3 linked regions of the Oryctolagus cuniculus genome follow. The protein of the gene in region 2 purifies or fractionates together with the protein of the main gene of each other region. This does not show direct contact. Links are inferred from orthologs where the notes say so. Each region holds a gene or a part of one and is shown on either strand. Other genes may lie near its edges.

What was found. Proteins that work in one complex are often made in the same cells at the same time.
Region 1: the proteins of RMND5A (region 2) and ARMC8 purify together in Homo sapiens (affinity purification with mass spectrometry; 5 studies listed by BioGRID and IntAct, counting the BioPlex papers as one, with this or other methods). This does not show direct contact. The link is inferred for Oryctolagus cuniculus from reciprocal best matches to the Homo sapiens genes RMND5A and ARMC8.
Region 3: the proteins of RMND5A (region 2) and RANBP9 purify together in Homo sapiens (affinity purification with mass spectrometry; 9 studies listed by BioGRID and IntAct, counting the BioPlex papers as one, with this or other methods). This does not show direct contact. The link is inferred for Oryctolagus cuniculus from reciprocal best matches to the Homo sapiens genes RMND5A and RANBP9.

The regions. Positions count from the first base shown.
Region 1 is NC_091435.1:143,471,698-143,481,926, forward strand, and holds part of ARMC8 (armadillo repeat-containing protein 8), read right to left. Parts: intron 9,115-10,229; coding exon 9,034-9,114; intron 6,732-9,033; coding exon 6,656-6,731; intron 6,562-6,655; coding exon 6,471-6,561; intron 4,076-6,470; coding exon 4,015-4,075; intron 2,126-4,014; coding exon 1,925-2,125; intron 1-1,924. UniProt on the Homo sapiens protein: Component of the CTLH E3 ubiquitin-protein ligase complex that selectively accepts ubiquitin from UBE2H and mediates ubiquitination and subsequent proteasomal degradation of the transcription factor HBP1.
Region 2 is NC_091433.1:116,044,550-116,054,878, reverse strand, and holds the start of RMND5A (E3 ubiquitin-protein transferase RMND5A), read left to right. Parts: upstream 1-3,832; 5' UTR 3,833-4,447; coding exon 4,448-4,589; intron 4,590-10,329.
Region 3 is NC_091436.1:157,000,190-157,010,418, reverse strand, and holds part of RANBP9 (ran-binding protein 9), read right to left. Parts: intron 9,237-10,229; coding exon 9,128-9,236; intron 7,155-9,127; coding exon 6,964-7,154; intron 5,678-6,963; coding exon 5,533-5,677; intron 2,255-5,532; coding exon 2,133-2,254; intron 228-2,132; coding exon 76-227; intron 1-75. UniProt on the Homo sapiens protein: May act as scaffolding protein, and as adapter protein to couple membrane receptors to intracellular signaling pathways. Acts as a mediator of cell spreading and actin cytoskeleton rearrangement.

The sequences.
Region 1 (10,229 bases), on a different chromosome or scaffold from region 2:
ACATACAACAACCATTTTCCTAAGTTCTAAACTATAGGCTAATCATAATTACATATTACCATAATGTGAGAATTTCTGAGTCTAGTACCTATACTTCGATAGTCAGAAACCATTGGATAACCCACTACCCCAATTAAAGGTGACAAAATAAACTAGTACTCAAGTCGGCATTGGGAAATCATTTAAAAAACATTATCCTAGTTATTCTGTGATGGAAATGAAATGGAAACAGTCCTACAGAAGATGTAATCTTCTACAGACTAAATGATTTGCACATGCTTAAGTTACAAGTTCTTTAAATTATGTTTCCTTACTCTCCTGCCCATCAAGTATTCTTTTTGTCTTGCTGGGGTGGTAAACTCAGGGTGTTTATGAGGCCATAGTTAGGGCTGGCTTATGTATTTTTGGACTGGTAAGATTCCGTGTCAGTTAGCAAATGGCCAGAGGGAAAACAGACAAGGCAACTGGTTCAATGTAACTTATCATCTCTACTACAACAACAACACTATCCGGGGAAGTGCAGACACAACTTTAGTACACAGAAGTGTACCCAATTAATGCAAACATCAACGAAGGTGATTTTTAGGTCCCTTCTAACAGAAGAGACATTTCCTTAATAGTCTGTTTTCTCTTCAACATTAAACGCCAAATGAACAACTGCCTTCAGAATGAGAATTTTGAAACTCAGAATTCAGAAGCAAACAGGCTAAGCAGCAAGAAGTTGAAAGGAACATCGACCTGCTCTAAGAAAGCTAAATTTTCAAAAACCATAATTTAGGAGCCGATGCTGTGGCATAGCAGGTAAAGCTGCCACCGCAGTGCCAGCATCCCAAATGGGCACCAGTTGGAGTCCCAGGTGCTCCACACCCTATCCAGCTCTCTGCTATGCCTGGTAAAGCAGTGGAAGATGGCCCAAGCCCTTGGGTCCCTGCACCTGAGTGGGAGACCCGGAAGAAGCTCCTGGCTCCTGGCTGTGGACTGGCATAGCTCCGGCAGTTGCGGCCAACTGGGGAGTGAACCAGCGGATGGAAGACCCTCCCCCTCACCCCCCGCCTCTCCTTCTCTCTGTGTGTAACTCTTTTCAAATAAATAAATAAATCTTAAAAGAAAAAGCATAATTTAATCATTGACAGTCCTAACCCAGAGTTTAAATGGTAATACTATGAAACTCAATAAAGAAGACAGGAATAGATTGAAAAAAAATTTTTTTGATGGAGAGTAAAATAAGGTCACTCAGTCACCACCTGTAACAGAAGATTACAGATGCTGAGCCACTGGCTGAGATGCCCAAGTACCTTGGGAGTGCCTGAGTTAGAGAACTAGCCTGCTTTCCATTCCAGTTTCCTGCTTATGAACACCTTGGGAGGCAGCTGTTTATGGCTCAAGTAATTGAGTCTCTGCCACTGGTATGGGAGACCTGGATTGAGTTTCAGGCTCCTGACCTTGGCCTGATTCAACCCTGGCTATTGTGGACATACAGGGGAGTGAACCAGCAGCTGGGAGTCGTCTTTCAAATTAACAAATTAAAAAAAAAAAAAAAAAAAGATTACCCTTAACATAAAGCATGAGAATACATCAACAGAAAAATGATTCTGTGACCTTGAATAGGATTAGATGATGTTGATATAATTTCAATACCCAGCTTAAAGACTGTGCTATTTGGAGGGTTTAAGCTGGGAGTTAAGTTTACTATTTTCTTCTTTCCTGCTTATCTGCTTAGTAAAAAAATTCCCAACTATAAATATATTAAACATATTTGAATTAAAAAACTCACAAAGCAATGTAATCCATGTAACCAAAGATAAATGACTCCTCTATTTAAAATGTTTTTGAGCTGTAATGATCAATTGGTTCAAAGTTGTGAGCAGTAAGAAAAACTTATTAAAAATCCTCTTGAACTACTGAAAAGGAAAAGCAAACATACCCTTTTAATATCAGTGATGGCACTCACTGAGCTGGGATACTTGAAATAATCAGCAAGCATGGCAATGAGGTGGTCAGTTATGCTAGCGATTCTCTGCAGCTCAACATCTGGCTCAATCAGATAGGCGAGTGTTTCAGCTCCTTCAACTCTCTCCTCTAGCAATCTCTCCTTACTGCACATTCGAACCAAACAAGGCAATGTCTGAAAGGCAGTGAGATCAGTTATTTGCTTTCTGGTAAAGGTAGAATCTTGAAGAGTATATTAAGACTGAATCAACTCAATGGCTTTCACTGGGAGTCATGTTTGTATTTCTTCTATTGATTCTCAATAATAAAAGATTTTTCAAAAAGCAAAAACAAAATTCAGTACAGATTAATCATCTGTGCTAGCACTCTAAACGACTCATACATTCAACTATATGAACAGAATCTCTTAGTTAGGCTTTTGTGATCAGTTCAGATTGCACCTTATCGAACAACCTTTTAAAAGACATTTAAGAATCCCTAACAGATCATATCTGATGGTTCTGCCCCATCTTTGTGTTTATTTACCTAAAAGAGATCCAGCAATTGAACCAGGAATGATTTTGCCCAAAAAGTATGGAATCTTTTCCTTAGTGAGTAATATGGTTGGGATGACTTTTTTAGTTTGAGAATTAGTATCTATAGTTGCAAAAACAAAACACAGCTTTAACAATTCAGTACTTTTACCATTTCTCATATTCCACATGTTATTCTAAAATGTGAGTGACATGCATTGATCACAGCTGCTAGGTTTTTCAAAGAACTTGCTGGAGTGATTACGGTATCCAATAATCCAATTTCTCTCCTGAGGTCCTTCAAACATCTTGGCACTAGTCCTGGTAATTTATCTATATTAGTTTCTGAATAACAACATCTCATGTATTTACTATTTTTAAGGCTTTAAGGAATAATGTGGAAGTAGATATTAAAATTTTACAACAGGAAGCTTTCCTCAACTACCACCATAATCTCTACCACAAAATTTAAACTTTATTTCTCACTATTGATTTCCTATTAGGCTAGTTCAGGTTTTACAACTCAATCTTAGCTTTGAAGGGGGAGGTCCTACTCTCTTGGTCCTAACATTCCTAGTTACTAATAATTATCAACACCATAAATTCATGTTTTACTGAATGTACTGCCCTCAAGTACATCATAAAGAAGATACTACCAACCCATTTTACCAACGAGGAAGAAAGGAGGGCTAAAGAAGTAAATAAGCCAGGCTCACTTGTATGAAAGACGTTAACACTCAATGCAGAGCTGCTTATTTAGGGAATTCCTTAAATCTCATTAAATGAACTGACTCTATCAGAGACTGAAGTGATCTTCTCAAGGCTCTCTTATCTTTTACCTTAACTCACATTCATAAAATGACACAAGATCAATGCATTTATACTTGTTTTGTTCTTTATAGCTATGAGACATCTTAATGTAAATTATTTAATTTATAGTTATCCTTATTATAACCCTAGGGGATAGCTGAGCAGGAATTACTGCCCACATTTTCATAATGAAGAATCTGGAGCCACCAAAAGAATTGGGCATCAAGCAGGTCAGTGGTGGCAGTGCTAAAACCAGAATCCTGGTCTCAGGACGTTTACGACTGGTCTCTTCTCCAGGTTTTCTCAGTTTAGACAGCATCTGACATACCACAATAATAATAATAATAGTTTTCAAGTCTATCTATTAAGTCTCACCACTGGCTCTGAGAGTGACATAGTCTTCATATGTAGAGCTAGTAAAGTGCCTACAAAACTGCACTTCAAACATAATGAAAATTATAGATTATAATATATTTTCTACTTCACTTGAATTTCATATACTTTCAGATTTCCGTTTTCTAATTATCATAAAATGAAAAAGTTGTGATAAGAAACAAATCATTTTGCTTTACTATTGAAAAACACATCGAAAATTAACTTTTAAAAACTGTAAAGCAAGCACATTTTATGCCATGTACACATCTATAATGATAAATACATAAAAAGTGAGAATGCTATTATACATACTCAATACTTATAGAACTGTAATTCCCATGTTTCCAGGGAGACTTCATTAGCTTACCTTTAACACAATACAGCTGTCATCTGTCCGAATTGCTCCTGCTCTACACATGTAAGTTAAACTGGAATAAGATGGCAAAAAGTAAGTTTTACCTTTGGCTTTAAAGTTTTAAAAAGAAAAATTATTTGCCTTTGAGATTTTATGAAAAATAAAACACAAAAAAACAAGTACTATCATTTTTTAAAAAAGATTTATTTATTAATTTGAAAGTCAGTTACAGAGAGAGAGGGAGAGAGAATCTTGATCTGCTGGTACACTCCCAAGATGGTCCCTATGGCCAGCACTAGACCAGGCTGAAGCCAGGAGCTTCTTTCAGGTCTCCCACTTGGGTAGCAGGGGCCAAAACAGTTCCATCCTCTGCTGCTTTTCCCAGGCCATTATCAGGGAGCTGGATCAGAAACGGAGCAGCTGGACAGACTGGCACTCACATGGTTTGCTGGTGTCGTATGCAGCAGCGTCACCCACTGTGTCACAATGTTGGTCCCTACTACCATGTATCTTGAGAGACATTTTGACCTTCCTTTACCTGAGGTTCAATTTAATAACTGAAGCAAAACCACACACATATAGATAGTAAGCCAGATACTAAAAACAAACAAAAAAACCTACCAAATTGTTTTAAAAATAGACGGCCTAATAAGTGCAGACATTTTGAAACTGTGCTAAGTACATGTGAGTTATGTTTTTCTCTGTTATTTTGTTTTAAATTTTCTATAATAAAAGAGGAGGAAATATTAAAAAGTTAACAAAACATCTCAGTTTATAAATGAAGTTGAGATAGTCTAACTCCAATACAGTAGAAGTAGCACAAAAGACCCACTTAACTTGTAACACAACTATTCATCAAAAACTAATTATTCTGGAATGGGTATTTAGCCTATTGGTTAAGATACTCATAAGTGCCTAAGTTTGATGCCAGTCTCTGACTCATGACGTCAGTTTTCTACTAATGCAGACCCTGAGAGGCAGTGATCATGGCTCAAATAACTGGGTTCCTGACACCCACATGGAAGACCTGGATTGACTTCTCTGGCTCCTGGCTTTAGGCCCTGCCTTGGGCATTATGGGTATTTGGGAAATAAACCAGTAGAAGGCAGTCCCAGGGCAAAAAGTAAAACATTCTATGTTTGGCTTTTAGAGAAAACTATACACAAATCAGGAAAATTCTTTTATACTTATTTTGTAGAAGGTTGAAATCTTTGTAGCTGTTACTTTTCATGAGTAATTCACTGAAAATCCTAATTCTCTATTAAAGAGCCACAGCTTCACTTAGCATAGAACCATACATATGCTCAACATACCCGTAATTACCTCTATTGGTAATTGCAGAATGAACACACACTGGATGCTTACATGAGATAGGAATTATGCTAATTTTACACTATTATCATACAAAATATCACATATCTAAGATTCTGTTTGCTGTTCTTTTAAGAGATAAAAAAAGTCTCCTTCTCAGAAATCATCCCCCATGTCCCATTGGGGCCAACGCTGTGGCATATCAGGTAAAGCTACTGCCTGCAGTGCCAGAATCCCATATGGGTGCCGGTTAGAGTCCTGGCTGCTCCACTTCTAATCCAGCTCTCTGCTATGGCCTGGGAAAGCAGAAGAAGATGGCCCAAGTGCTTGGGCCCCTGCACCCACATGGGAGACCCGGAAGAAGCTCCTGGCTCCAGATCGGTGCAGCTCTGGCCATTGCAGCCATTTGGGGAATAAAGCAGGGGATAGAAGACCTCTCTTTATCTCTCTCTCTGCCTCTGCCTTTCAAATAAATTAATTAATTTTTAAAAAAATCACTCCCTGGTTATCATCTTTAATTAATTCTCTCTACATTTGTCTATATTTTCATTTTTGTGGTTTGATACTAGGATAATGTGCATTAATTGTATCTATTTCAATTTTGTATCATCTCAACTGAAATACAAAGACAGGGAAGGACATTAAAGTAATTTTCTGTAGATGGGTCTTCGATATATATGAGAGTTCCTGTCCTGCATACTATGAGTAATAAACTGAATGTTAAAAACTGACCTCTAAAGTGGCATTTGGCACAGTGGTTAAGACGCCACTTGAGATACCTGCATCCCAGTATTTGAGTGCCTGGGTTCTCTAGTCCTGGCTCTGCTTGATTCCTGCTACTGCACTCCCTGGAAGGCAGCAGGTGATGGCCCAAATACTTGGCTTCCTCTCCTCACACTAGAGATGTGGACTGAGTTCCAGGCCCCTGGCTTCCTCCACCTGGCTCAGTCCTGGGGAGTGAACCAGTGGACAGAAGATCTCTCTGCCTATCTCTGTTTCTCTGCCTTTCAAATAAAATTTTAAAAATGACTTTCATTTAGCAAAATGTGGCATGACTTTCAATTTTCAAAATCCCAAAGCAAGAGGGACTGAAACTGTCCAAAAATACTCTAAGAGATGGATAAAGCACTTTTCTCCCACATTGTCTTGACTTTTACCATTTTGCCGATGTGAGCTGCATCTCAATAGGCTTATCCCTCTGTAACATCTTCACAAAAATCTGTGGCAATAATTCTCCATCAACCAAAACTAGAAGCAAACAAACAAAAGGATTAAGAAACTTATTTAAATTCATAAAGTTCATAAATTAAATTTTATAGATGTACTGAAAGTTTCAGCCTACCATTCACCAGGGTCATCGATACCTGGGGGTTTTCAAAAGCTAAAACGGAGAAGCATTTCAGTGCTTGCATTCGAACCTGTAAAAATCAAAGAACAAATAGTGCATTTATTTTAATGGCTCAGAATCTAAACTCTTCTCCTGAAAAAATAACTATTTAAATCTGCTTAAAATACTAAAAGGAAGCCTCAAAGGAATGGCAATAATATTTGCATGATTTGAAGAGTACTGTGAAAGTCAGAATTAATTATAGAAAAATTAAAATCAATTTTGAAGTAATAGAACAATAATGAGGAAGCAGCAGCAATTAAAACTGAACTAGATAAGTCCCTAATCAAACCTGTAAGAACACTGTACAAAATACAGCGTTGTAAGACAAAGGGAACTTCAAAAAATTACCAAGAGCCTTTCAAGTGGGACATTGCTTCCTTCCTAATTACAAGACTGAAGGGAAGGCAAAACTAGAGCAGGTATATGAGATGGAGATGGGGACAAAAAAAAACAAGGCAGAGGAAACAATGTTACAACAAAAGTTTGAAAAGGACTAAATTAATTTACCAATAGAACACCTAGCAATTATGTTACCCTTTCTTAAAACTAGGTTACTGGTTTGGAATACTATCAAGGGCCTTGTTTCCTGATCACATAAACACATTTTATTGTTTGCAGGGGCTCCTATGAGAACTCTTATTTTTTATTCTTTCCATTCATTTTTTACCACATGATCTCATCCTCACTTCCAAAGCCAGAGTCTACAGGCACTGTTCTCATGTAGAACCTGGGGCTGGCAGGCACTCCCCAGACAAGCAGCAGGGGAGTGAAGCAGCACACTCCCTCTCCTGGGGAATGCTCTGCAGGACTGGCACAGACCACAGGCAGAAATGAGAGCATGTTAATGACACCATAGCGGTGGAACAATCCTAGCCGAAGAGCAGCGTTACCAGACACTGTCCCTTCTACAACTTGTAAGTTTCAAGTTATTAGAGTAGATAAGGAAGTCTAAAGCGCGGGGGGGGGGGGGGGGGGGGGGATGGAAGGAGAGCAGGGAGAATTAAGGAAGCTGGAGTATGGACAAGTAAAGGGACAATAAATAGCCGACCACACGACTGCTTTTTGATGTGCAAGGGCTAACTGGTTTTATCCTCTGTGTAGCAGAGAGAAGCAGCAGCTCTCAGTAATTTTCTTTCCCTGCCTCTGGATAGTTTCAAGCTGGCTCCACCCATTCCTATCCTTATGAACCTATTACCAAGACTAAATTCTGGATGTCTAAGACAGGGAAAACATACATATGAGCAGGTTCTATTTGAAATAAAGTTAAGCATAAAAAGAACAATAGTTGAGGATCATCAGTGCAAATACACAGAAAATAAAAATGACTGCTTCCCTGATCTACAGGTAACTTCTGCCATACCCAAATCTAATGTGATATAATAAAGACAATGTTCCAATATTTGCTACAACATTCTAACTAGACAACAATGAATGCTTAAAATTTTAACTCAATGACTGATAACATTATGTTTACTTTTTATAAAGTCTGAAAATTCTTTGACTTTTCAAATAAAAATATAAGAACACATTTTAAAAACATTTTAAGGCTGGTGCCGCAGCTCAATAGGCTAATCCTCCACCTTGCGGCACCGGCACACCGGGTTCTAGTCCTGGTTGGGGCGCCAGATTCTGTCCCGGTTGCCCCTCTTCCAGGCCAGCTCTCTGCTGTGGCCTGGGAGTGCAGTGGAGGATGGCCCAAGTGCTTGGGCCCTGCACCCGCATGGGAGACCAGGAGAGGCATCTGGCTCCCGGCTTCGGATCAGCACGGTGTGCCGGCAGCAGCACGCCAGCCGCAGCGGCCATTGGAGGGTGAACCAATGGTAAAGGAAGACCTTTCTGCCTGTCTCTCTCTCTCTCTCTCACTGTCCACTCTGCCTGTCAAAAAATAAATAAATAAATAAAAATAAAAAAACATTTTAAATATTGATGTGTATGTGGGTATAATCTGTGGGTTTGAGTCACTGTGGCTAGATAAAGATTTTAAATATGAAATCCAAAAATATGTTTTTCCTGATACAGCAGGTCATTGCATCTACACACTTAAAGGTATTATTTCAAATGTAGCTGCAGCACTGCTATCTAATCAGAAACACTGTAAAATAGCTAAAATCAAAAGCAATTCATACACAACCATATGCTAAAAAATGGACATGCAAGAGCAATTTATTTCCTAAAAGAGCATTCTATTGGTAAAATAATGTCCCATAACGTTTTACTGATAAACTACTACTCTTGGTCATAAGCTCTAGTAAAGAAGTGATAAAAACTCATATATATGGGCCTCTTTTTAGAAAACAAAGAATTATTTGGCCATATTTTTAACATCTCACCTTGTAGGATAGTGAGGTTAGTAGGTGAGCAATATTCTGAACTGCACCATGATTAAATAAAATTGTTTGATGATCTGGCCCCTGTAGGAAAAGAATACAACAATACATTAGGAAGAATAACGATTAACTTCAATAAAACTATATTTACTTTTTTTTTTAAAGATTTATTTATTTATTTGAAAGTCAGAGTTACACAGAGAGAGGACAAGCAGAGAGTCAGAGAGAGGAGGTGGGGGTAGGTAGGTCTTCCATCTGCTGGGTCACTCCTCAACTGGCTGCAACGGCTGGAGCTGCGCCGATCTGAAGCCAGGAGCCAGAAGCCTCTTCCAGGTCTCCCATGTGGGTGCAGAGGCTCAAAGACTTAGGCCATCTTCTGCTTTCCCAGGCCATAGCAGAGAGCTGGACTGGTAGTGGAGCAGCCGGGTCTCGAACCGGTGCCCATATGGGATGCCAGCACTTTGGGCCTGGGCATTAACTCGTTGCGCCACAGCACCAGCCCCAAACCTATATTTACTTAAAAGTAGAAAGCTACATTTACTCCAGTGTAGAATTATGAGTTACCTTTTGCTTCTATTACTCAATCCTAAAAAGTGGGGTAGACACTGATTTTAGTCCTACAAATAGCTGCCACATCACACTTCATCCCAGTTCTAGAATTGCTACCTCCTATGCCTCTGAAGAAAAGAGAAGAAGCTATCCTTGGCACTAGCTCTTTGTGGTTGTTAAATACACTAAATACACAGTAGCACAGCATCCAAGGCCTCTATGAAGCCTGCATTTTATGTGCTCATGGTTGGCACAGTTATTCTTACATCTTAGTACTGATGAGACAGTCAAGGAGAACCCTAAAACTAACTGCAAGAGGAACTGAGTCAGAGCCTAGTCTACCTCAGCACACTTGGGACATCTCAGTAACGTCATGTTGGGCAACACAACACTCCATAATGGAGAAGTTAACAGTATTTTGGTTCCTATATTTCTTCTCTTTTATCATTTTTAAAATTATCATTTCCCAGAGTAGAAATGTAAAGGGAGAAGAAAAAAAATTTATTTTTCATCTACTCTGTTTTCTACTAAAGATCTTCAAAGTGGCAGAAGCTAACAGTTACTGCAAAGCCACAATTCTTATTCATTCATTTTATGCTCCACTTCACCCCATGAATTAATGAAAGGTCAATTAAGCCAAGACAAGGAAG
Region 2 (10,329 bases):
AACGCACTGTTGTTAACTCTGCCTGTCCCGTCCCTAAGAGTAGGTCATAATGGCTAGCAAGTACCCTCCATCCAGCCAGCAAACAGGCATTTAAATGGCAACATGCTCCAAAACACAGCACACAGGAGGTACAATGGTAAAGCACATTCAGAGCAACAGATTTTGGTGGTGGCCGTGCCTTCACCTGTTTCTTTGACATGGCAGAAGCAATATCCAAGGGTTGGTTTGTTTTTCAACAGAAAATAATGAAATTTTTTTAAATGAGAATATTTTTTCACAATTTAACATTTCTTAATAACATATCTTATCAGTTTATCCTTACTTTTATATTAGGCCTGAGTTAGAATAAAACTGGGTTGGGGGTTGGGGGCTGATGTTGTGGTACAGCAAGCTAAGGTGCTGCCTGCAGCGCTGGCATCCCATATCAGTGCAGGTTCAAGACCCAGATGCTCCGCTTCCATAGCTCCCCGCTAATGTGCCTGGGAAAGCAGATCATGGCCCAAGCACTTGGGCGGCTGCCACTCAATGTGAGGCCCATGGAGACTCATAGAGTTCTTGGTTCCTGGCTTCAGCCTGGCCCAGCCCTAGCTGAAGTGGGCATTTGGGGAATGAACCAATGGGTCAAAGATCTCTTTCTTTCCCTCTTCAAATACATACATACATACATATATACATACTAAAAAAAGTTTAAAACCAGGAAATCACCAGCAGTTTTTTCCACAAGGTCTTTACAATTCTTGCTGATTTATTTTTCCAATAATTATTAGTGTGGTCTTTGTGACCCTAATCTGAGTGTATTTTGCATAAAAATATTTTTGACACAGTATTTCTTCTATCTCCTCTAACTGACAAATGAAATTTTGTTTTTCCTGCCTTGCCTGATTTCAGGCTTTGAAGAACAAATCAAAGCAGTTTTAAAAGCAATCTTTTTGGCAGAGGGTTAGGGAAAACAGTGGACTACATATTCACACAATAAATATAATGAGAGCTATACTTGGTAATAATGCACAATGACTATATGTGTGTGCACAGGAAAAGTTCTGGAAATTCACCCCAAGTGTTGAAACATTTTTTTACTGAGTTTTGGGGTTTCATGGAGCTTTTATTCTATTTATTTGTATTCTCTAATTTTCCTACAACAAATATGAATTTTGGCAAAAGGATAAAAGGTATTCTTTTCCTTTCTTTTTCATTAACATTTACTTAAATGCTAAAGACAATCAAATTTAGAATGGAGGAGAGAACGAGAGCAATGTTCAGAATAACGGCAAATTAGACTCTCCAGAATAAGCAGAATGTGGGGATGAGAGTTCATTTGATACTGGTGTGTGTGTAGGTGAACTCTTACTTTAGCTGCATAGTGAAAATACAAGCAGAAAAAAACAATTTGCAGTTGCCCTAAAAATGGAATTTCCCGGCCGGCGCCGCGGCTCACTAGGCTAATCCTCCGCCTAGCGGTGCCGGCACACCGGGTTCTAGTCCCGGTCGGGGCGCCGGATTCTGTCCCGGTTGCCCCTCTTCCAGGCCAGCTCTCTGCTGTGGCCAGGGAGTGCAGTGGAGGATGGCCCAGGTGCTTGGGCCCTGCACCCCATGGGAGACCAGGAGAAGTACCTGGCTCCTGCCTTCGGATCAGCGCGGTGCGCCGGCCGCGGCGGCCATTGGAGGGTGAACCAACCGCAAGGGAAGACCTTTCTCTCTGTCTCTCTCTCTCACTGTCCACTCTGCCTGTCAAAAAAAAAAAAAAAAAAAAAGGAATTTTCCCCCCCTTGTTTCTAGAGATCCTTCACTGAGGATTAAAGGTTTAGGCTTAAAGCAACCACACACCGCATAGGAAGGGCCGTACAAAGTCAACAGAACATCAGAGTTTCTTCCAAGTACTATTTTTTCTCCTCTTGGCTAAAGCTGAAGCCTCTTCTTCCCTAATTTGTTTATTCTCATTCCTTTAGCAAATACTCAGAACACATTTTTTCCTAGACTGATTAAATTATGGCAAAGAAAAAGGAGCCGGCCCAGATCTGGGAGCTAACAATCAACTTGGGTATACAAGGCAGTACTGCATAGGTGGGCCTAGGTTACAGAAAAGTGTCAATAGTTAAAGCAGGACTCACGCCGTGGGAACAAAGAGAGGCTCTGAAAAGCCGACAGTAACCAAAAGCATTTCAGGAGCACACAGGCGAAGGAGCTGTCCTCAGTCCCCAGGGGGAACGACAAGGAGCTTGGCAGGGAGGTGGCAGGTGGTGCTGGGACACTACACGGGGCGAAGCGCCCGGCCGAGGTAGGACCCGAAGCTGTAGGCAACCAGACACCGATCAGTGGACAGGAAACAATGGCTCTTACCTGTGCCGGGCATTATGTTCAGTTCCTCACAGGGGCTACTTCCTTCAGTGATGACAACTCCTTGAAGACAAAAAACAAAACGTGAGTGAGCTTAGCAAAGGGAGGAACAAGCATGGAAGAACGGAGGAAGAGAGACACATCGAGGGGGAAACTCAGCTCCCCTCACGGCCCTTAGGAAGGAAGAACGGGGGAGGGGGCAAGACCTGGGCACCTGGCCCCGGGTCCGAGGAAGCCCGCAGGCTCCAGGGGCTGTCTCGGAGAGGAAGCACTTTCGCTCCTTTGGGCGTCTGAGGTTCACAACAGCCATGGGAGACAGAAATACTGAGTGACGGAGATTCCTGGCGTTGGGTGTTTTTCTGTTAAACAGGGATCAGGGCCATCTGTTAAGAAAAGAGGGCAGAAGGCAGAAACGGGGTGGGTGGGGAGGAAGAGATGAGAATAGCATCAGCTGGATTACCCTAAGGCCGCCGGCCACCATCACCGGCCCATTGCAAGCACTTACGCGTATTATCTAGTCTAACTACCAATGACGTGCTATTAACTCCAATTATTAAAAAAAAAATAAAGGAAACTGAAACTCAAAAGGCTATTAAAAAAAAAGCCTTCACGGTTTTTCTGAAGTGGTGCAGACAACAAAGTCAAACAAATCCCAGCGGACGTTGCTAAGTGGCGCGAACATGACAAAGTCGTGACAGGACAGAGCCGCGCGGGAAGCCAAAGGCTGCGGGACTCCGCGCGGTCACGGGAGGCCCCGAAGACGAACCGGGCGCCGGAGTCCTCCGCCCGAGGCGGCGGCACGCGGCCGGCTGCGCTCGCTCGAGGCCGCAAAGGTCGGCGCCGCAGCTCGGGGCGTCAGGCGAGACAGGCCGAGGCCGGCGGCGCACAGCGGGCAGGGGCGTGCGGGGACGAAGCCGCCCTTCCGGCGGGCAGTCCAGCTCCCCGGCGCGTGCTCTCGTCCCCACCGGTCAGGAGAGGACAGGGCCCAGAGGTCGCCGCCCCGCGGGGTGTGGGGAGCGCGCCGGCGGGTACGCGCCGGGAGAACCGCCCCCGCCCGCCGCGCCTCTCCGCCCGGGCGGCCCGACTCCGCTTTCCTTCCGGGGAGATGGGCCCGTCTACTCAAAACTTCGGAGCGTCGGACCCACTTTTCCCTTCAAGGCTATAACAAGAACTGTGGCTGGGACGAGGCCCTACGGAAAACGACCGTTTTTATTTTCGTCCTATTCCCACACACACACACACACACATACATCCCAACCCCCTATGGCTTTCCGGAAACGATTGGCCTCACTCGCTCCTGTCTCCAAGTCTCCCCCTCCAACAGCGAGCCTATTGGTTTGGACCCCCGTCCTGGATTGGCTGAAGGCTTACGCCCCGGTCAGAGATTGGAGGAAGCTGACTTCTTACATAGTCCCCGAGCCCCATTGGCTGGTTTTCCTCGTTTCTGGGCGGGGTGGTTAGGAACGGTTTCCACCCCCTTGTTTACGGAGCGCGTAGTTGTAGCGCTCCCTGCGCGTAGGGGCTGTGTCTAAAGTTCTCTATTTAGCTCCTCAGACCAATTGGGTTCTTGCCTCGCCCTAGCCCTCGCCCTCGCTCTCGCCCGCTTGTCTGCGTGGTCCGGCCCACACCTTTATTAGCGGCGGCGTGAGCGGACACTCGTCGCGCTCCTCCGCCCACGCTCTCCAGGCTTATTCTCCCTCCCCCGAGGGTGCGCTTGGTACGGCCCGCGCCGCCTCTCTCCCTAGCTGGGGTGGCTGATCCCCCCCCCCCGCAGTCGGCGGCGCTTGGTGTCGCCCGGGAGAACCAGGTCATCGGTCGGTTCCCGTGAAAACAAAAACAATCGGCGGCGCCGCCGCGGGCAGCCGAACGCGGCGAGCGGCGGTCCGAGCGGGCGAGCGGGCGGCAGCGGCGGCGGCGACGCGCCTGGGGGACCCGGGGGCCATGGGGCAGGCGGGCGCGGGCTGCGCGGGGCTCCCCCGGCGCCGCGGCTAGCGCGCCCGCCGTCTCGGCCGCCTGCCTGGGGGACGAGGAGCGGGACGCGGCCTCGGCGGGGCCCGGGCCGGACGGCTGCGGACTGCCAGGCGCCGGCGAGCCGAGCGCCGCCGCCTCCGGCATGGATCAGTGCGTGACGGTGGAGCGCGAGCTGGAGAAGGTGCTGCACAAGTTCTCCGGCTACGGGCAGCTGTGCGAGCGCGGCCTGGAGGAGCTCATCGACTACACGGGTGGCCTCAAGCACGAGATCCTGCAGAGCCACGGTAGGGCGGCGCGGGTGGGCGCGCGGGGCAGGGCCCAGCCAGCCTCGCGGCGGAGCCCCTCACCCACCCTCAGGCTCAGGCCCGGCCCGGCTGCGGGGGGCGCAGGGATGCCCAGCACCGGGACTTTGCTGCTCTTGTTTCTCGGTTCACCTCGACTCTGCCGCGACCCCGGAATGAGAGCCGGGTCGGGCGGGCTGGAAGCGTGGGTGGGCGGCCTCCGCCGCACCTGCAAACTGCCGGGCTCCCCCGGCCCCCGGCCCCGGGGGGCTCACGTGGCCGCGCGGGCTGTCCCCGAGAGTCCGAGGGACTGGGGGGTCGGTATGGGAAGCCCCTTGGTCTACCGGACCCAGATCTTTGGCCGCGGCACTTTTCTTTCCTGGCCTTTTTTAGGGGGTGGGGGGTGGGAGCAGGGGAGTCGAGCGTTATTCTTGGCGGTGGGTTACTGGGACAGCCGCTCCGGCGACTTCCGACTCTGCCGCCCTCCGGTGCAGCCTCTCCCGAGGCCCAGGGAGCAGGCGCACGGTGGAGTGGGGAGCTGCCCGCGTTGCCGGCTCGGGTTTGTACAGTTCGGCTCCGTGCTGTGTCTAGATGATTGATTGCACTGTGACCCCAGGCCCCATGGGGACGCCTGGTTTGCCAGAGCTAACTTTTGGAAGCTGGTCTGGAAGGGGCTTGGGGTTTTGGTTTTACCAGGAGCGTTAACGGCCTGGTGTCCTTCGACGCGGAGAGTCGCAGGGCTGATTCTTGCTGATGGAGAAGGGAAGGGCTGGCTATTGAATGGGCTTGCTCGGGAGGCTGGGGAGCGGCCCTCTCCCCCGAGCAGGGCTGGGAGGGGGCAGAAAGGCAGGTATTTGTGGCAGGTGAGACCAGGGCGGTGAGGAAGCCCCGGCTTCCCTCCTCTGCGTTCTTCTACGCCTCCCTTTCCCAGGCTTGAGTTTCAGTGGAGGGAGAGTCCTCGGCTTCTCACTGTGGACACAGCAGTCATTTTTGAAGTCCAGGAAAGAAGCAGCCCTGCAACCGTAGTGATTAAAATATTAATATGGAAAAGACCGTAGCAAGAGTTCCAGTTCTGCTGTGGAAACCCAAGCAGGCCTTGGTGGCCGCCTTGGTGGTGATGGTCGAGTTGGCAGGAATGGGGAAGCCAGGCGGCGTGGCGTGGCAATCAGGGGGTCCCGAGTCTGCCCGCTGAAGTTGAAGGGCTTCACAAAGGCAAGTCAGAGGCTTGGGAGATGTGCAGGTCCAAGACTCTCCTGATGTCCCTAAGAGGAGGGAGGAAGGTGGCGGGGTCTGAGCCTCACCTTGGACTCTCCTTGGAGAGTGGAGGGTCAAGGCAGAGCGTGCGCGGGTTTGGGCACTGGGGGTCAGTGGGCCTCCGTGCGTGGAGTTTGGTAGAGCCGGGTCAGCGGAGGTTCAGTGGAGGAAGCATGTGTACACTGAAGTGTTCCTCTCTGCCAGGCTGGTGGGAGGCCCCTCCCAGAGGAAGTGTGGTTCTTGTTACGGGCTGAAAGGGAGGAACCAGCGGAGGAAGAGAATGAATGAAGCGCCTGGACTCAGAGGTGCCGGTGGGAGATGAAGTGTTAGACCGGAAATGATGGGAGACGAAGACCCTGGGTTCCGGGAAGAGGGAGCTGTTAGTGGAAGCAGAAGTGACTGTGAACTTGGTTTTAGGTGATCTCGGGTCAGTCCCAGGTGGATAAAGTGATAATGAAGAATTCGCTTTAGACAGCTTTGCTTGCTCCTGGGGACCTGAGAGTTGGTGGGGTGTGGGGTGTGAGCTGCTTGCATGCCATGCTGTTGAGTTCTGTTTCTTTCCATGGTCAGCCGTTTTTTTTTTTTTTTTTTTTAACCCTCTTGTCTTCCAAATTGCCTGTCTTGTGTTGGTATCTCTGATTTCCTTTAATTCTGTAAGAATAGGTTTGATTAAAGGTCATTCTAAAATGTTAAAACAAATGCCTCAGATACTAGGTCTGGTTTCTAAAATAAAATCTAACTTTTGGTGTTCTTTTGTGAGATGACAGCATGCTTTGGTATCTGGGTTATGGTATTTTTCAAAGCAGATCGTTTCTGAATTAAAGTTCTCTGCAGGCAAGGGTGGTGGCTACCACCTTCAGCCTTATATGTACCCTCCTCAGAGGTGTCTGTGCTGAAGACCGATTTTGGAATTCCATGTTCAAGTTTAAAAGGACAGTTGCAGGGTGTCCGAACGTCTCTGTCTGGGCAGGTGGTCTGGTGGGCTCCTCTGACCTGAGGAAGGGTCCCTGGTTGGGACCCTCCTTGCAGGAATTGTGTGATGTAAATCAAGCAGAACCCTGGGGGTTTTGCAGATCCCAGATCCCCCAGGATCCTCTCTAGGACCTCATCCTGCTGAGGGGCTGTGGGTTTCAGAAAGATCCTTCAGTGGGGGCGAGGGGATCGCTTCGGTTTCTGAGAGAATGAATTGTGTATTCTTCTATTTAGATGTTTGCCCCTCTAAAGTTGTGAGCGCTGTGATAAGCATGTTAGGATAGTTTGGAGGGAGGATGGGAGCATTATCTTCCACTCTTATTCCCTGTAGAAAACACGGGCCAGTGGGGTCCAACTGGCCTGGAGACAGTCCTGCAGTGAACCCCGACACTTCTCAGTCGCTCTAAGTCATCTCTCTGTAGCCTGGAATCCTTTCATGTAAAATTTCTCCAAATCCTTTAGGGGAATGAGGATGTAGGGTGGTTACCTAACACCTGGTGGGGTGGTTTGTGCTCCATGGGGTAAAGGCCTGCGGCAGAGGAGTAATACTGGAGTATTATGGCTCTGAGAGGGAAGGGCAGGCTTTGGGGAGGGAGTGTTGCTTTCCAGGGTATTTGCAGTAGGGCTAACAGAAGTCTGAGAAGCAGGAAAAGGCAGTAAAGCGATACAGAGCTCCAGAGAAGAGTCAAGAGGAGCCCTGCTGGGGCCTGATCACTCCTCTTCCTGGAACCCCCGCCAGGGCCTTCTCTTGCCTTGTGGCTGCCTTAGGAGGATGGACTGATCCAGAGCCTGGCCCGTAGTAGCAGGGATGGAGAACTGTTCATGGCATGCAGAGGGTTTGCTGAGATATTGCTGTGGGACGGCAGTGTGGTATACCCTGTAAAAACATTTTTACACTTATTTGTTTGAAAGGCTTACATACACAGAGATTCATCTTCCACCCACTGATTCATTCCCCAGAATTGCCTACAGTAGCCAGGGCAGAATCAGGCTGATGCCAGAAGCTCAAAATTCAGGGACCCAAGTACTTGAGCCATCACCTGTAGCCTCCCAGGGTGTGACTTGCAGGAAGCTGCAGCTGGACTCAGAACTGGGACCAGCACCCAGCACTCCGATATGGGATGTGGGCATCCCAGACAGTGTCTCAGCACTGCACCAAATCCCATCCCCAGTGTGCCATTTTAAAACCTGACTTGCATTCTGGAATTGTATTGAGCTTTGAGTCTTAATTGTTTTTATTGAACTTTGGGTTCTTTTAATGTCTCCAGCTCTGAGGGGAGAGAATACTTTTGTCATTTAGTTGTACCAGTCTTCCAAGAAGCAGAGTTTCCTTTTGAGCATGAAGTCTGGTTTAATTTAAGATTCAATAGGGTTGAGACTGGGTGTGATGGTTGCTAGTGTGCCCCTGATTTAATTTGGATAGTGCACTGGTGCTTCTCAAGCGCCACTCACACATGTACATGGATTAATGGTTTTGTTTTAGTAGACTTATTCTCTCTCTGGGAAGGACCTTTGTGGAGTTATAAATTTGGTTTGCTTAGTTACAGTAAACTAGTAATAACCTCATAGCTAAATAACTATTGAGATGATAGTTCGTTACCAGATTTGATCATCGTTCACAGCAGTGATATGGGAACCTCACTTTGTGTGGTGACGGTTTGGTGATCTGACTTATTTGTATGTTTTTCAGCATTTTCTTTCTATTGAGAAAATGTTTGTTTTTTGGTTCCAACTAGGGGTTCTGGCAGGGGTAACAAATGCATTGTATATTATGTGTTGCTGAATTGATACTTGGTAAAAGGTTAGGCTGAAACAATTTAATAATGGTTTCAGAACATGCTTTAAAGTATGCTTTGGAAGATACAGAGAAAGATTTGCAAGATCATTTTAGACATTAAAGGTAGTTCCAAAGAAGTTTCTGAAAGTGACTTTCAAGGAATTTCCTAAGTTTAAAATGTATCTATTTTGAGTGAATGGCTCATTCAGAAGATGAAGTTCATTAGTGAAGTCTCCCTCCCACTCTTGTTCCTGGACCATCTCATTGCCCATCTCCCAAAGATGCCAAAGATTTCAACAGTTTGCACCCACACAGACGCACAAAGTATAAAGTACTGTTTGAAGACAAGTTTTACCATTAATTCTCATAGTACAGCTCATTAAGGGCAGAAGTCCTACATGGGGAGCAAGTGCACAGTGACTCCTTTTGTTGATTTAACAATTGACACTCTTATTTATGACATCAGCTTCTTCCTGGTCTTACATGTGGGTGCAGGGGCCCAAGGGCTTGGGCCATCTTCTACTGCTTTCCCAGGCCACAGCAGAGAGCTGGATCGGCCGGGACTCGAATCATTGCTTCAGGCTGCGGCTTTCACCTGCCACAGCGCCCACCAGGCCCCAACAATACACTCTTGAGAGAATAATGACTTTGAGTTTTGAATTGAATACAACTTGATATCTACATTTAACATCTAGTCTGGAAGGTAGAAAATAAGTAGGTCATAAATAAAAGTTTGGGTGGAGGACAGTAGCCATTGTTGAGATATTCTAAGGAGAATGGACTGGGCTATTTTAGGTGGTAGAACTCATTTAAGTCAATGTTTCCAGGTAGGTTTAGAAGCAGATCTAACTTTGGTAGCCATTTCTTTCCAGCTCATTTAGGAAGGAATTCTTTGTAATTTGGCCTTTCTTTGTTTAGACTGTTACATTATTCAGTATTCTTTTGGTTGCAGGTGACACAGTAGCTTTTTTTTTTTTTTACAGTAAAGTTTAATCACAAAAGTGTAGCATTGGATTTATGCTGTTAGCATACATTCAGTCCAGCCCAACACGCAGGGCCCACCTCCTACCATCCTGGCTCTGCTGAGCGGGAGCCTGCAGACAGCTGGGTGGGAGGGGACCCTTCAGGGTCCTGCAGGAACAGAGACACAGAGGTTTTCATTTGAGTGGAATTTGTTGACAGTGACTAAATAGGCTGAGGTTCTGCCAGGCTGGCTCCAGGGACAGAAGGGGTATCATTAGGACTGGCAGTTCTTTACATGGTTAGCTCCATTCTCAATGAGTGGAAGTGGAGATGGCCAGTGGGGCTCAAAAATGAGTATGTGGGTACTCTCCTGCATTTCCAACAAGACTCCTAAGGAGTATCTCCGCTATCCTGTATTGGGTCGGTCCTGTGCCTTTACCTCACTTGGTGGCTGAGGCTAGGGTATGGGGTCTTCTGAGCACTTTGAGCTATGCTGACCCCGTGCCAGGACAGAGATGACCATATGACCCATCCACCCTTCATCAGGTAGCGGAGAGAGTTCTAGAAAGGGACATTTGCTCCCAGACAGAAGCAATACATATCTGTTATAATGAACAGCTGTACACTACATCATTAACAATGTACTCTGAGGTATTTTTGTGCCTAGCTCAGACTTTTCTCAGCTTGTGTCTTGCATCCTAACTCTATGTTCATACAATTAAAAAAAAACTGAGTTCTTAATCTGAGTTTATCTGTAGAGTGGTGAAAGTAGCTTGG
Region 3 (10,229 bases), on a different chromosome or scaffold from region 2:
GCACATCCCGACGTCCTCACACGAGCGTGCTCCTGTTCCTCTGACGCCTTCCGCTCTTGCCGGGGAAACACTCACCTTCAACATCTTCTTGTTCGCTGTGTTCTTGCCACACTCCCTCCTCAGCTGTTCACTCATGGCTTGCAGCTCTCTTCCAAAGTGGATCATTCTTTCAATGGCAGCCTGACTTCCGCCACATAACTGGCGTCTTAACTGGTTTGAGTCAACTTCTGCAAACCAAACAAAGAAGTGCTTCACTACTTTATGGAATGGAACACACGTAAGAAATGAACACACATTTCTGATCCATTTTAGACCTCCCAGTCAGTAAGCACTCCCCAACATGTCACCTACACACACAGACTCGTGCTCAACCGAGCAGGGAACTCTGCAGCTAATCATCACACTGGATCCAGAGCTCGGGAGTCTGGGATCCAGGGTGCTGCGCGCAGCCCAGAGGCAGGGCTACCCGTGCAGTGTCAGGATGGACCCAGTGTCTCACGAGTGTCACCAAGAGGCAGGGGCCAGTCTCTAAAACCACATGAAGAGGGGCCGGCGCTGTGCCATGGTAGGCTAGGCATCCATCTGTATGCTGCCAGCTCGAATCCCGGCTGCTCCTCTTCTGATCCAGCTCCCTGCTCGTGGTCTAGGAAAGCAGCGGAGGATGGCCCAGGTGCTTGGGCCCCTGCACCCACGTGGGAGATCTGGAGGAAGCTCCTGGCTTCAGATCGGCTCAGCTCCAGCCATTATGGCCATTTGGGGAAGTGGACCAGAGGATAGAAAACCTCTCTGTCTCTCCCTCTCTCTATAACTCTGCCTCTCAAGTAAATAAGTAAATCTTAAAATAAAAATTAAAAAATAAAACCACACTAAGCAAAATTAACAAAGAAAAAGAGAGAAGGTAGTAACTGCCTCTCAGGCTGTTTTAACTGACATATAACAGAGGTGGAGTAAAGTGTTCCTGGAAGCTAAGAGAGGCTAAATGATTCCAATAGAAACACAGATTATTATAACACATTATAATAATCAAAATAACTATCCTGGTTTTAGAAAAGAATTGTGCTATACATCTTGAGTGACAACTATCACGTCACTGCTCAGCAGTGTGAGTGGAAATCCAGAGTAACACAACTCCCTGCTGTGAAGATGACGGCGGCTGACACTGTGCTTGTTTGCTTTCCACAGGTTAACACACGGATTCACCCTGCACAGTGACCTAAGAGGCAGTTATTATACCCATTTTACAGATGAAGATGCTGAGGCACAGATCAGGTTAAGTGATCTGTCCAAGGTCACAGAGCTAGTAAGTGGAGTTGCAGACACCACTGCAGGTCATCTGCTCTAGAGCTCCTGCTCTCGATGACTCCGCTTAAACTGCCCTGAAGAAGCCGAAGTTGCTGATCTCTCACTGAAAAATGAGGTGAGGCTGCTTTTCAAATAATTTTGGTAAATAAACACCTTTTAATTTCAAAATGCCAAGAAATTCATATTTTCATGGAATTCCAACAAGCAATTTGTAGGTTTCAATAAATTTTCATTATTTTCTGGAAGTTTGCTGAAAGACTTTAAGGCGCAGTTTACTACATAATTTGTCTACAAAATACAAGTTTGCATGCTAGTCTATCTCTGAGTCCTGTGTATTTTTTCTCTGCTGGGGGAGGTCATACGTCAGCACCTAATATACCACACACAGTACTGGGCAGTCACTCATGTTTGCAGTGAACGAGTTAGGAACTGTTTAACAATTTAACTAGAATTTAACAAAAAGTTTAGTAATTTTGAATTTGCAAAATCATTTGACCCACTTGGCCTTACTGACTATATTGAAGTAAGTGTAACAAATTTATCTCTGACCTTAAAACCCTTAAGGCTCAACAGTGATTAGTACAGCTTCATTAAGCATAACCCTAAAATTAAGCCTGAACAGCCAATTCAACAAAGAAAACTGGCACTTGACTTCAGAAGAAATTCAAAAATAACTACTCTCTCTAGCTGAGAGAGTTCCAGTAATATGTATTACTGTCAACACTACTGCACACACATCACTAAATTTGGTTTATGCTCATCAGTACAAGTAAAAACATAACCTTGTAGCCATCATTTTTATTAAAAATGTAAGAAATATCACTGCAGACCCATTTCGGTGTCACAATCTTCCATTTCGTGGTCATGTTTAGAGCTACCATTTAGGAAACCATTGGATGAAGTCTCTCCAACTCCATTGGAGTAGTGATCTGTTTCCATGTCTACATCATTACTGAAAATGAAAAAACAAACCTAGTTTTAGAAAGATCATACTTGCAGCTTGGTGTAAGACAAATTACTTCTCAACTACTTAACCTACGTATAAACTAACTTCACAAGGCAATAGCAATCTGCAAAAAAGGTATGTAGTTACATCTCAAGTGTACTCAAAGCCAGATCCACAGCCGACGCTTACCAAGCCTGCACCTCCTGGAGCTAAGGAGGAAGACACGCGCTAACTGTGTGGTGGTTTTTGACTTGACACCAACAGGAGAGGGAACACTCTGGCACAACAGGCCTATCCCTGCTAACTATCAGGACTGCCGCCCCAGAGCCTGTTGGGCCAGCCTCGCCCTCCCCCAACACCTAAGTGTCAAATCTCACTCCTAAACACAAACAGATCTCACTCCTGAAGCCCACCTCACCTCCTCCCTGCCTTCATTTCAACCTGTGTCTGGACCTTTTTTTTTCTTAAAGTCTTCCCACGCTGGCACTTGTGCTCACTACTTCCAAGCATACCTTCTCTCCCAGTACACACGCTTCAGCACTGCCGCGGCCTCAGCCTCTCCCCCACCTCAGCACGCAACACCTGCCCCTCATAGGGCCCTGGAGGTGATGCTCAGCGCGGGTCGCCTCGCGTCACCTCCACTCTTCACTCACTGCGCACTGAGGAGGAGGATCAGTCTGCCACCTGCTCTGTCTGGACCTCTTTTCCATGTGAGTCCTTCCAAACCATCCACACACTCTTTTAAGGAACAATAAACACCTAATCTTTCTCATTTCCTCCAATGAACTAGGCAATGAGCACACAACCCAGACGTAAACAATTATGAAAATTTCAGAATTGTTTAAATAAAACAAGCTTTCTTGTTACAAAGAATATAAATTTGTTTTTTAAAAAAGTGATACAGATATAACCACTAGTTGACATCTTGGGATAAGGGTGTGCATATGGGCTGCGTGCATGCATGTGCTCCTGTTGGTAAAATCTTTAAGATAAACAGATGTAGAGATCTGGGCAGGAGGCGGCGAGGGCCCTGGTGCTCCACACCAGACCTAGTCAGAAGAGCTCATTAAATATCTCGACAAACGTTGACAATTCATAAGAAAAACTTTAAAAAGAATGCTTAATTTAATGATAAATCCTTATCATCATGGCTTTCAGTGGTTTTAATAAGGTAGTAAGCTCCCAACCCTTTTTATCGGACAATTCTGTTTTATATTTGTGAGATATTCACTCATTCAACACACATCTCAGAGCTCTAGGTCAGGTGAGGAATTTGTGAAACCCCCTGCCCTCTGGCACAAACAGCTACAGAAAGCCACATTTTATCGCAGCATAATCTGATCAGGACTGCGTTCAGAGTCAATCGCAAGGAGTGATACCACGTTTGGAGGGTGTAAAGTCGAGGAGAATGTTCTGGAAGAGGTGACACCTGAACTGGAGTTTTGCAGTTTAAACAGAGGTGACGATGGAGGTGAGAAGAGCATTTCAGATGGTGGAAGTACAAGGGAAAATGCACAGGTTTGCAAGTCAGAAATCCTGGGAAGAAATCCCAGCTCTGCAACTCAATGACCTACTAATGACTCAACTTTAAAAAATGCCATTTGTTTTCTGGTATTCAGCTCCACATCTGTAAAATGGTTTCAGCAGTTAATCCCACCTTCGCCTGCTTCACAATACACGACACGGCAATGAAAGCCACTACCAGCTACGAAACAACTGTCACCATTTCCCAGTTCCAAAGCTGACTCCTTCCCCTTCTGTCCTGGCACAGGGAGGCTGCTATGTCATCAACTCCTGTTAGGCCTGGTAATCACAGATTTATGGAGCAACTTTCTGCCATAGCAGCAAGAGAGAATTCACAAATTGAGGGCATTCCTCACATCAAACAAGGGTAGAATCCACTATCAATGGTAAAGTGCCAACTATAAAGTACAGAGACTAACTTCTAATGTTCACACTCCTAGTTTTTTACTACAGATTTTAATGTCACATTTCCCAATGTCAGCTCTACTGTGAAAGGTAACACTGACCTCCCCAGTAAAAATGAGTCTCTTTTCACGCTGTCCCAGGCTCCTCCTGTGGCACTCCAGTGGAACCCATTCCTTTTGTAAATTTTTGTCATGTGTGATTGATAACCCAGAAATCTTGAATAGTCTCTAAATTTTCAAATCTGGATTGTTTTTGCACAGACTCCTTTCTGTAGAATCATCCTTCCACTAAAATTCCACACTGAGGGGTCAGGGCTGGGGCACAGCATGCCATATGCCGCGCAAGTCCCGGCTGCTGCTCTTCCGATCCAGCTCTCTGCTAATGCACCTGGGACGGCAGCAGAAGATGGCCCACGTGTTTGGGACCCTGCCAGCCACATGGGAGACCCAGATGAGTTCCAGGCTCCTGGCTTCGACCTGGCCTAGCCTTGGCAGTTGCCACCATTTCAGGTGTGAAACAGCAGGTGGAAGATCTCTTTCTCTTTTACTCCTTTTCTCTCTGCAACTCTGTATTTCAAATAAATAAAGAAATCTTAAAAACAATTCCACACTAAAAGTTAGGTTATTTATACTTCAGTGAGAAAACGGCACACTGAAACACTCCCCGAGAATGCTGTGTGACCACTGGTTCATCTTACAGGGTCAAACTGACTCAGAGGCTGGCTGACTGCGCCAGCCGAATGGAGACCTTCTCTTGCACAGGAGGGTTCAATTTAAATGACGACACGTCACGGACTTCCAGGCTTCATGAGTCCTAAGCCCGAGTCTGTCAGGGCCCAGAGCACACTGAGACGGATCTGCTCTCCAAGCTCCTGGCAGGCAGCAGGTCCTCACTCTCCTCATGCTAAAGGCTGCTCGACAGCCCAGTCACGTGCCATCACGCAAGCTACGGAATGACACGCTTTCTGAAAGGGTTCTCCGTGAAGTGATTCTGAATTCAGCGCATTCTATACATCAAAAAACCGTTAACACTAGAGGTTAAATAGGTGTGAATCAGCACGCTGAACTTGAAAACAACAAACGGCACTGGCGACCACCTATACAGATCTGCGGTTGGCGGGAAGACGAGGCAGAGAGCCCTTGATTTGTCCTTACAGCTTAAGAGGGCGGCAGAGGAAGGAGGAGGAGCACCTGGAAGACTGACCGCTCTGGGGAACGGAGTCCCTGCCCTTCATGTTCTCTAGGAGCTTGGGAACTCCCAGACCCCAAGTCTAGATCACAGGATTGAGATCCATTCTGAATTATGAACAATGACGACACCAAAGCTAGGATGCAAGAGCAGGGGAAGTCACGTACCTGGTGAAGTTATTAAGTTGTTGTGACCTTGACATATTTATACTGTTCAGTTCCGGGACATTCAAACTGGATGACTGGTGTTTACTGTGGCAATACGACTGATGTGCTTTATTTGATAGGACACCATTACTACAACTTTCAAAACCTGAAAAAATGAGAAAAATATTACATAGAAAAAAAGACTAGATAATTTCCTCATATTCTGGTTTTTCATTTCAGACTTTCAAAATGTCAGAGGCACTAGACAACTCAAATAGCAAACAGATTACGTCTTCGAGAAGACACTAGAGCACTGAATTGTGAACTGTAATTATTACCTCCTCTAACATTTATTGAAGACTTAATTATGGATCGCATTTAATCTTCACAGTGGCCCTCTGAGGGCAGCAGTCCTGTGTCTCTTAATGACAGGGATACGTTCTGAGCAAACATGGAAACGTTATCATCCTGAACCCTGTAGCAAGTGTAACACAAAGTTAGGCGTGTGTGTGTCTGAGCGCGGCAAAGGTGCAGCACAAACACTTCATGGCACCGTCTCAGCTCCGTCACGGTCTTAGGGGCCACCGCTGCATCTACCCTCCGTCTTGACGGCAGGTCTGTGACATGTGACTTGTCGCCACCATGCTCATTTTACATAGGAACACACGGGGGCTCGGAATTCCCCCCAGCCTGAAGTGAGCGCACGCTAGCTATTCCAGATGGGTGCAGCTAAGCACACAGGCACGGGAATCACCCTCAGCATGCAGGCTGCTGGTGTGTGTACCCTACCGACTGGGAGAAAAAAGTCTGACTTGCTTCAGCAAATGAACAGTACAGAGCAAACCCAGAATGGAACAGCCACGCGAGGAGAAAGGAAACTGAGAAGGATCAGAATAAACCTGCACAAGGGGTCTCACGGAAGCCACGGAACGAGAACGTTTTAATTAAGAGGACATCGAAAGCCACAAAAAGCAAGACTGATGGAGTGAAAGAAACCAGGAGATAATGGACAGGGCGCGGGGCAGACCCGCAACAGTCTGGGTGGGGAGAGCCCGGAGAGGCTGAGAAGCTGCCAGCCGGCTCTGGTTCAGTGGCAGGGAATGACCCGAATCACAGGCGGGTCACCTGCACGTGTGAACGTTCATAAAACCCAAGACTGCCTTCGCATGACGCAGCACGCAGGATTCCGTGTAGGGACAACTCACTCGGAGCGTCGCCCTCGTTATGAAGATCTGCTAATAAGCTATTCTCAGAAAGAGCTGTCTCTTAAGTGAATTCCTGGTACTGGGAACACATGAGTCTGAACCTTCAGGTCTTCACCTACAACTTCTTGAGATCAAGCACACACAAATGCAAAACAGCTACACAAAAAATGTCAGAAAAAAACACAACGTTGGTTCAAAATAATAAAAGGTAAAAATTTAAAGGGAACATTGTAAGATTCAATCTCACCAGAAAAATGTGCAGTACTTCCTTTGCCTGATGCTAAACTGTGGATATTCATTCCGTGGTTGGGGCTCACACTTGGACTACTAAAGGGTCGAGGACTGACAGGGTAACTGTCTTGAGATTTTGGACTTCGGCCTCCCAAACACCGTACTTCACTATCCGTGCCATTCACCATTTCTATAAACTGACGCACTCTGAAAGAGAAAGAAACTCACTCAGACATAATCTTCCAATGGCCTTTAGTTTATTCATTAACAACAGATTTCTCAAAGTACTGAAAACATCTGTACTGTCAATAAGTTTGGTCATTAGATAACAAGTTAAAACTCATATTAGACTGTTTAAAATTTTCCAGAAAAAATGCCTGAACATAATGCAAGAGAGAGTAATATCATCTCCTTTAATGAAGTTTTAATAAAAACCTTTCAAGAAAGTTAAAATCTACCCATATCTATAATAAAATTAAAACAGATCCATTTCTTGCCTAAAAGTGACAAACACAACATTATCTGTGGAGCAGACAGCTAGTCTAGCGGTGAAGATCCCGGTACCCCCCAACAGAGCGCCGCGGTCTGAGTTCCAGCCCCAGTTCCCAAAACAGCTTCCGGGGAGGCAGGCAGCTGTGATGAGGAGCAGCTGGGTCCCTGCCACCCATGTGGGAGACCCGAGTTGTGTTCCTGGCTCCCACCTGGGGCCAGCGCAAGCATTTGGGGAATAAACCAGCAGATAGGGAGCTCGTCTGCTCTCTGCCTCTCAACCTCTCAAATTTAAAAAAAAAGTGTGTGAGGGGAGGGGCGGGTGTTAGCAAATCAACCAATGCCTAAGAGGACGATTTCCTGCACACTACATCCACACAGCACCGCCTTCTCACTCTTCCTCACCCCATTCCCATTCCCAATCTCAACCAAAATGACTGAACTCATGTAAACGTACTCATTTAAACCAGACAGTTCTGTTATGAATTACAAGAATTTCTGAGTTGAAATTTGAAGCTCAATTAACATGATTAAAAACAAAGATTCAGTCAATCAATAAAAAAATGCCACAATGGGTTGACTATTACCAAAAAACCCACAAAAACGCAGCCAAGCGTTGGCGAGGATATGGAGAAACTGGAGCTCCGGCGCGTGGCGGGCGGAAGCTAAACCGCTGCAGCGCTGAGGAAAACACTGGGGCAGCTCCTCACAGTGAGAACGTCACCAGGAGCCCCAGCGCCGCCTCTTCCGAGCACACACCGGAACTGAAAGCAGGGCTGCCACGGGCGTTGCACCCAGCACGCTCACAGCAGAACAGTCACGAGAGCCAAGAGGCAGAAGGCAGAAGGGATACAAGTTGTCATCCGTCAAAGGACGAAGACCGAACCAAACCCAGCATATACGTACAGCGGACTGTTACCCAGCCTTTTTTTTTTTTTTTTTTTTTTTTTTTGGCAGGCAGAGTGGACAGTGAGAGAGAGAGACAGAGAGAAAGGTCTTCCTTTTGCCATTGGTTCACCCTCCCATGGCCGCCACGGCCGGCGCACCGCGCTGATCCAAAGCCAGGAGCCAGGTGCTTCTCCTGGTCTCCCATGGGGTGCAGGGCCCAAGCACTTGGGCCATCCTCCACTGCACTCCCTGGCCACAGCAGAGAGCTGGCCTGGAAGAGGGGCAATCGGGACAGAATCCGGCACCCCGACCGGGACTAGAACCCGGGATGCCGGCGCCGCAAGGCGGAGGATTAGCCTAGTGAGCCGCAGCGCCGGCCATCAAGCCTTTTTAAACAGAAGGAAATTCTGACACATCCACACCATGGATGTGTTGAGGACACTACCCTAAGTGAACAAGCACACAAAATGACACACAAGGTATGATTCTACTCACATGAGCCACCTAGAATTGTCCAATTTAGAGACACAAAGTGGAATGTGCTTGTCAAGGGCTGAGGAGAGGGGGATGGGGAGTTCTGCTCTGGGGTACAGTTCCAGGTCACACCCAGCACAGGATGCCTTCTGCTTACTGTTCTTACCACTTCCCCTTCTGTTACAACCTGACAGTCACATGCGCTACGTCACAACTCTGTAAATATCTGAACCAAGGTAGAATTATAAGCTATGAAGCCATCAAAGTGACTTTAATTATAACATCTATGTAATAAGACACACATACAATAAATATTTTATTGAACTCACTTTAATGTGAAAAGGAGATTAGGATTTCTTTCAAGTAAACTTGGGTACAACTGTTGTGTCGTTTCAATGGCTTCTCCCATTCTTCCTGCTAACACCAATTTCTGAATTCCTATTCAGAAAAAGCAAAAAATTAACTTTCATAAAAGTAGAAACAAACTTAGTAGATCCTCAGAAAATATGAGTCAGTAAAAAAACTTCAACATAAATTACTGGATTTAATTTCTATTTCTTTTTCTAAAATCATAGATTTCATTAGGAAATCTGGAAAAATTTCAGGTGTATTTAAAAAATTCTAACAAGTACCACAAACCATTTTTTTTTTAAATCACAAACATACAAATAACACAGGAAACACAGCTAATAAGCAACACTAAGGTTTCAAACAATAAATCCAGTACATTTCTAATTCTTCTAGGAAGATCTCAACTTGACACCCCTGGAGCACTCACTGTGTGTCAGATGTTTGTTAAATTAGATGGTGAGGCTACAAATGAGTAAGTGACCACCTCTGTTCCACAGAGCACGTTAAGGTAGTGAGAAAGACAAGTACGCAATTAGCTACAAAACGATGTGATCAATGCTATTAGAGCAATCTGACCCAGTAACAAGCTGTCTTCCAGCCATCATGATTTCACCCACCCCTACACCTCTGTCAAGTGACACCCACCCTCATGGGCTCACAGCACGGATTCAGGATGAGTCACTCTGGGCCAGGCATCACGCAGACTCGCCCTTGCTACAACAGGCCTTCCAGCTTTGGCTACAAAGGCCAGCACTAGAACCTACAATAAATACTCTGTGATCAGTAATTTAAATCTGAAGATATCTAATCTCTTTCACACATTATCTGCATTCTTCAACCAGGATGACTTTACTCTTCACCCAAACCCTTTTTATTAAGTGTTGATTTTCTGATAGCTTAAGCCTTTAAGAAAAATACTATAATGACATTTCTCCAAAATTTCTCTCCACATTTATAACTTAGTCCTACGTGAATTTAAAAAACAATCTTTTAAAATGTCAATGAAAGTAAATTGTAGAGGCATTCTCTGAAATCAATACATCTGAACATTTCCAAATTTAAAAAAATAAAACTTCTAAA